2 linked regions of the Lonchura striata genome follow. The protein of the gene in region 1 binds, or shares a complex with, the protein of each later gene. Links are inferred from orthologs where the notes say so. Each region holds a gene or a part of one and is shown in the gene's direction. Other genes may lie near its edges.

What was found.
Region 2: the proteins of LEPR (region 1) and LEP are in contact, whole or in part, in a crystal structure (PDB 7Z3R), measured with the Mus musculus proteins. The link is inferred for Lonchura striata from reciprocal best matches to the Homo sapiens genes LEPR and LEP. Residues at the interface, in NP_666258.2 of Mus musculus: Tyr439, Leu440, Thr441, Arg466, Ser468, Leu469, Tyr470, Gln499, Pro500, Ile501, Phe502, Leu503, Leu504, Ser505, Val560, Phe561, Glu563, Asn564; in NP_032519.1 of Mus musculus: Lys26, Val27, Asp30, Thr33, Leu34, Lys36, Thr37, Thr40, Arg41, Gln92, Gln96, Asn99, Asp100, Glu102, Asn103, Asp106, Leu107, Leu110.

Annotation. Positions count from the first base shown.
Region 1 is NC_134611.1:5,535,777-5,539,522, reverse strand, and holds the start of LEPR (leptin receptor), read left to right. Parts: upstream 1-933; 5' UTR 934-999; intron 1,000-3,746. UniProt on the Homo sapiens protein: Receptor for hormone LEP/leptin. On ligand binding, mediates LEP central and peripheral effects through the activation of different signaling pathways such as JAK2/STAT3 and MAPK cascade/FOS.
Region 2 is NC_134607.1:73,000,205-73,003,489, forward strand, and holds LEP (leptin), read left to right. Parts: upstream 1-1,378; 5' UTR 1,379-1,497; coding exon 1,498-1,641; intron 1,642-2,069; coding exon 2,070-2,432; 3' UTR 2,433-2,727; downstream 2,728-3,285. UniProt on the Homo sapiens protein: Key player in the regulation of energy balance and body weight control. Once released into the circulation, has central and peripheral effects by binding LEPR, found in many tissues, which results in the activation of several major signaling pathways.

The DNA of each region.
Region 1 (3,746 bases):
TCCCTCAGGGATTCTCCAGCCCCTTCCCGGCTCCCTCAGCCTCTCCTGGGGCTCCAAACGCTTCCCAGCCCCATCCCGGCTATCCCGTGCGAGGGTGCCGGTGTTCCAAACCCTTCCCAGCCCCATCCCGGCTATCCCGTGCGAGGGGCCGCGGCGGGCGGGGCGCTGGGCCGGGGCGGGGCGGCGGAAGGGTCGGGGCTGAGGGGAACCGAGGGAAGCTGAGGGGGACCGGGGAAAGCTGGGGAGAAGCAGGCTGGGGACGGAGGGAGCCGGGCTGAAGGGAGCCGAGGGAGGCCAAGGGGAGCCGGGGCTGAGGGGAGCCGGGGCTGAGGGGAGCCGGGGCTGAGGGGAGCCGGGCTGAGGGGAGCCGGGCTGAGGGGAGCCGGGCTGAGTGTCTGGGGCTGAGGGGAGCCGGGCTGAGTGTCCGGGGCTGAGGGGAGCCGGGGCTGAGGGGAGCCGGGGCTGAGTGTCCGGGGCTGAGGGGAGCCGGGCTGAGGGCAGCCGGGCTGAGGGCAGCCGGGCTGAGTGTCCGGGGCTGAGGGGAGCCGGGCTGAGGGGAGCCGGGCTGAGGGGAGCCGGGCTGAGTGTCCGGGGCTGAGGGGAGCCGGGCTGAGGGGAGCCGGGCTGAGGGGAGCCGGGCTGAGTGTCCGGGGCTGAGGGGAGCCGGGCTGAGGGGAGCCGGGCTGAGGGGAGCCGGGCTGAGTGTCCGGGGCTGAGGGGAGCCGGGCTGAGGAGAGCCGGGCTGAGGAGAGCCGGGCTGAGTGTCCAGGGCTGAGGAGAGCCGGGCTGAGTGTCCGGAGCTGAGGGGAGCCGGGCTGAGTGTCCGGGGCTGAGAAGAGCCGGAGCTGAGAAGAGCCGGGCTGAGGAGAGCCGGGCTGAGTGTCCGGAGCTGAGGGGAGCCGGGCTGAGGGGAGCCGGGCTGAGGGCAGCGCCCGTCCTGGGCTCGCCGTCGGAACAGCGTCTTCAGCCACCAGTCGGAACCCCGAGAGCAAGGAGAAGGTTGGTGAATTTTCTTTTTATCCGCTTTCCCCCCCCCCCCTCTGATATCCTGAACTATCCCCCTGAGCACAGCCCCCAGCCGGTTCCACATCCCGCTCGCAGATCCAGGCAGTTTCAGCCCTTTCCCTCCTTATATTCCCTGAGATTCAGTGTCAGAAGCAAAACAAAAGTAAATCTCGGTGAATGTGGGCTGTGAGTCCCCGATGCTGCGGGAGCTGAGATAGAAGAGAACTTCGGAAAGTCAATGAATGGTACAGCGTTTATGAATGTATTTTATAATGAACACACTGAGAGCCCTTAACTTCCAAGCGTACCTATAACGTGGATACAACCTTTAAATGCCAAGGAATCCCAGGAGCTCTGCTCGTAAGGAAGGACAGATCCACAGCATGAATGAGGAGTGGTTTCACTACAAACAAGAGAAATTCCAGGGTCTGGAGAAACTCTGAAGAGTTCGGGACGTTTTGCTGTCGAGTCTTGGGGGCGAGGCTCCACCAGCAGGTTTAGAGTTGGATTTGTAGCTGTGCTTCTGCTCAACTTGGGTTGCTTTTATTAAAGCTTTAATATCAGCAAAATTATTCATTGTGGGTCGTACTCATTTCTATTTTGTGTGTACCACTTACTCTGAACTCTTTATTAAGAATGGTTTTTAATATACTCAATGGCAAAATGGAATTCCATGCTCAGACCAACAGGACTGGAAAGCCCTCGGCACTTTAAAGAACAGGTCAGAAGATGCTGTGCATAGACATTATTGCTAAAATATTTTTATGCTTTCTAGAGATTTTTAATATTTAAAACCAGCTGTAGTGCAGTGCCTGCAAAAATCAGGGACGGTTTATATGATTTTCCATGCCCAGTGCAGGTGTTTGTGGGTCCTGCTCATTTCAGGTTGTTCTGAACCTATTTCCCATGCTGATAAGCCAGGGAATTCTAGGATTTCTCATTTGTCCTGTAAATAAAAATGATCTTATTTCATTGCTCTCCTCCTTGCCTGTCATATCTGTTGTGTTTTGGTTTTAATCCCAACTCTTGGTGCTGAGCTATTCTGCAATTCTGTGGTTGATATGGAGAGGAATACAGTATTTACATAAGAAATCAGGAAATTTCTTGTACACAGCAGCAGCAAATTCTGTGGTTCCAGAATAATTTAAGATATATTGGTTCAAAAGGACCCAAATTCCTTCCTTTTGTATAGACACTTCCCCAGCCTCAAACAAATCAGTTTGTCCTGGCTGTGTTCATTTATTCTCTCTAGGACAGAGCTTACAAGTTGTAGTAATTCTCTTTATTTAACTTCCAGTTCTCTGTAAATGTTCCTGTAAAACTTGTGTTCTTTCTTACAGTGGAGTAAGAACTTCTGGCAAGTTCAGTGTTCTCACTGGAAAAGATTTTGGGAATCTGCTGCAGCAGTACATTTATCCTGCCCGGGGATTTATCTGTAGATATCTCTTTTTACCCAATTCTGCAAAGTTTACACAAGGAAGGCTGAACTTCGAACAGAGAAGAGGCTGGTTCTGTGGCCATGCAACTTTCAGGGCTTTTTTGGTCATGTTGAGCACTGGCTTTGGTCGGGAATGTTGGAAAAACCAGCCTAGGTCCATGTGACCTGAAAAGGGGTTTTTCCTTCTGCTCTAAAAATTAAATTAGTGCTGACATCAGAATCTCTGATTGCTCTGTCTGGCCATTTTTATGTCAGAACCCCAAAATCATTGAGGTTGGAAAAGCCCTCCAAGACCATCAAGTCCAGCCTTGTCCCCAGCCCTGAGTGCCACTTCCAGGAGTTCCTTGGACACCCCCTTCCAATCCTGACCACCTTTTCCAAGGAGAAATTATCCATTAATTTTTTTTCCCTTCCATCAGGACATTAAGAAACCTTAATATAAATTATAATTTTCCTTCCATATTGGGTTCTGGGGCTCTGTGGTTGCTTTCTTCCTGGTGTAAATGGATATTTAGTAGGGAAACTCTAACACCCAGGGCCTATGGATAACTTAATACATTTTGGAAATGGATGTCCAGTTTTCTTGGAAGTGATCTCTGCCAGTTTCCTGCTGGGAAGTGGCTGAAGGATGGACTGGGATTTTTGTTACACCTATGAAAGAGGAACATGGGCTGTTTCTCATTAAACCATTTAATAGTGTGAATAATGTACATTTATGTCAAATAAACTCTTTTAGAAGGTACTTATTCCTTTTGAAATTAGGGAAAATCTAACTAATTTCAGTGATTTGGAAATAATTCCTGCCTGTATCTTTGTGAAATGACCTGATAGCTCCATAATTCCTCTGGCCCTCATGGCTCTCTAGCAGAAATAAACTAATGGAAAAGGAAGAGGTAAGATGGGCCACCTACCAGCTGTGCTGAGAGCCAAATTGTCCCCTGAAATTGGGGCTGGGAACATCTGAGATTCCCTCTTGAGTTGCTGAAAATGGAGCTGAAAAAGCACAATGGAAGGGGAGGAAAGTGGATGGGATTGGCTGATCCTGCAGAGCACAGTGCTGGAGAAATTCAGCTCCAGCTGGGTGGGTGGGAGAGCAGGCAGGAGACAAGGACTTGGGAATTGTGACTTCCCTGGGCAGCTGGCTGCTGCTTCAGGTGGATATGGAATATAGAAATAAATATATTTTCCAGGACATGCAGCCCCAAAGTGCGTTACATAACCTTGGCACTGCCTCTTTTGGCTCCAGGGATGTTCTCAAGGAAACTGTCCTCAGGAATATTTCAGGAATGGAGCCCTTTGGAGG
Region 2 (3,285 bases), on another chromosome or scaffold:
GGGACACCCCAGCCCCCCCCGAAGGACACCCGGCTCAGGGACATCCCCAACCCCCACCCTGGGACCCCCATCCTGGGACCCCCACCCTGGGACATCCCCAACCCCCTCCCTGGGACCCCCACCCTGGGACATCCCCAACCCCCTCCCTGGGACCCCCACCCTGGGACCCCCATCCTGGGACATCCCCAACCCCCACCCTGGGACCCCCACCCTGGGATCCCCACCCTGGGACATCCCCAACCCCCACCCTGGGACCCCCACCCTGGGACCCCCTCCATGGGACATCCCCAACCCTCTCCCTGGGACCCCCACCCGGGGACATCCCCAACCCCCTCCCTGGGACCCCCACCCTGGGATCCCCACCCTGGGACATCCCCAACCCCCTCCCTGGGACCCCCACCCTGGGACCCCCTCCATGGGACATCCCCAACCCCCACCCTGGGACCCCCACCCTGGGACATCCCCAACCCCCACCCTGGGACCCCCACCCTGGGACCCCCTCCCTGGGACATCCCCCTGGTCCCCTCACCCCGGGGTCCCTGTGGGTGCGGCCGCGGGGGTCTCCAGTGTCCCCCCTACCCAGACCTGTGGGGACGCTGTCCGGGCCGGGCTGGGACCGAAGCCCCCGGGGGCTTTGGGCACCTCCTTGTCCCTGTCCTTGTGCCCCCCGGCCCCTGCTGTCCCCGAGGTGGTGGCAGTGCCACCAGCCGTGTCCCTCGGCCCGCGGGGACACCGAGGGTGACCCAAGGGACCACGGGCCCCCCCCGGCCCGGCCGGTGGGGTGGTGGCACTGGGGGGTGGCCGTGTCCCTCCATCACCCGGCCCCGTCTCGTTCCAGGCTCAGCGAGCGCGGGCGAGGCTCCGGTGAGTGGCACTGTCACCCCGTCCCCTCTGTTTCCCCCGTGTCACCACCGCACCCCCGTGTCCCCGCATCCCTGCGTGCCCCCCACTCCCATGTCCCCCCGTTCCCGTGTCACCCACGTCCCCCTATCCCCAAGCTGTGGGTGACACGGTCACCCCAGTGTCCCTCCCGCACCCACCGGGGGCAGGGGTCCCCAGGGAGGTGACACAACCCAGGGGCCCCAAGGCCCACCCTGGCCCTCCCCTCCCCGCTGCGAGCAGCGTCCCCCGCTGGGCACGGCCGGGCCGCGGTGGCCTTGGCGGAGGTGACAAAGGGAGGTGACAAAGGCCCGAGCGGCACGTGCCGGCGGGGACACGGTGGCACCGTGACACGGCGACGAGGGCTCCGGGGTCCGTGTGCCACCGGCGCCGCTTCCCACACGTCCCCTACCCCGTCCCTGGTGACACCAGCCATCCCCCAGCGTGCCGGGGGTGGCGGTGACACGCGTGTCCCCCCGTCCCTGGTGCCACCAGCCATCCCCCAGCGTGCCGGGGTGGCGGTGACACGCGTGTCCCCCGTCCCTGGTGCCACCAGCCATCCCGCAGCGTGCCGGGGTGGCGGTGACACGCGTGTCCCCCGTCGCAGAGGCCGGCGGGATGCGGTGTCCCGGCGTGTCGCTGTGGGGGCTGCTGTGCCTGGGGGTGGCGGCGGCCGGGGGTCGCCCCGTGCGGCTCGAGGGGCTCCGGGCGGACGCGCGGGCCCTGACCCGGACCCTCAGCACGCGCCTGCAGCAGCTCCAGGTGACCCCGGCCCGGGGACGGCGGGGACACCGGGGGAGGGGGCTGTGACACCCCCGGAGGGGCCCGGGGGGACCCCAGACCGGGGGCGGCGTTCCCCAGACTCGGGGGCTGCTCCTCAGTACGGGGGGACCCTGTTCTCCAAAGTGGGGTGGGGTCCCCGGGGGGGTCTCCCATGGGGGGTCCCCAGGGAGGGGCACCTGGGGCTGGGTGGGTGTGGGGGCTCTGGTCCCAAACCGGGCACCCCCAGGGATGGGCTCTGGAGGGGTTTGGGGGGCTGCACCCCCAGGGATGGGCTCTGGAGGGGTTTGGGGGGCTACACCCCCAGGGATGGGGTCTAGGAGCACCCCGAGGGTTGGGGGTCCCCAAGGAGGGACAGCCATTCCCGGGGGGCCCTGCGCCCCAAGCTGACCCCCGCCCTGTGCCCCCAGCTGTTCCCGCTGACCCTGCGCGTCACCGGGCTGGAGGGGGTCCCGGAGGGGGTCCCGGACGGGGGGGTCCCGCCGGGGCTGGGCTGGGCCGCCCAGCGGCTCCAGCTCTTCCAGCGGCTCCTGGGGGCCCTGCCCGGGGGCGACCTGCGCCTGGCCCAGGTGGCCAACGACCTGGAGAACCTGCGGAGCCTGCTGGCCCTGCTGGGGGCCCTGCTGGGCTGCCCCCCGCCCCGCGAGCCGCCGCCGGCGCCCCCCGCCCCGCTGGCCGAGGCCCCGCACACGGTGGCCGGGGTGGCCCTGGCGCGGCTCCGCGGCTGCCTGGACGGGCTCGCCGCCTGCCTCGAGGGGGTCCCCGCGTGTTAGGGACCCCCGGGAGCCCGGGGACGCCGCCGGGACCCCCGGGCCCGCAGGGACAGCCCAGGAGCTCAGCGGGGTCTCATCAGGACCCACAGACGGGACCAGGACCTCAGCGGGGACACACGAGTGGCCCCGGGCACCGGAGCGACTCCAGCCGCTGCTGCACCTTTTTCTACGTTGCTGTTATTATTATTATTATTATTATTATTATTATTATTATTATTATTATTATTATTATTATTATTATTGCTACTGTTACTATTTTTATTAATTTATTTAATTTAAAGCCCCTTTTCCAGCAGCCTCACTTGTGTCTCTGATGACTCTGGGGACAAGGGACACCCCTGGGGACACCTCTGGGGACAAGGGTCACCTCTGGGACAAGGGACACCCCTGGGACAAGGGATACACCTGGGGACACCCCTGGGGACAGGGACAACTCTGGGACAAGGGACTCCCCTGACAACAGGATCTACAGTGTCACGGGGGCAGCCGGTGACAAGGGACCCCCGGGACACGGGGGCAGCCGGGGACAAGGGACCCCCGGGACACGGGGACAGCCGGTGACAAGGGACCCCCGGGACACGGGGACAGCCAGGGACAAGGGACCCCTGGGACACGGGGGCAGCCGGGGACACCAGCGGGGCCCTGGGATCTCCCCGGGCCAGGGTGACACAGGGACACGGCCCCGGTGACTCAGTGGCAGCTGATGACTCGCTGGTGGCTTTGCCATCCCCCGCCTGCTGTGACCCCCACACTTCCAGCCCAGGGGGGACACGGGGCTGGCTGGGACCCCCAGCCAGGTGGAGACAAGGAGAGGGGGACAAGGGGACAGGGATGGGGGCACGGCGACGCTGCG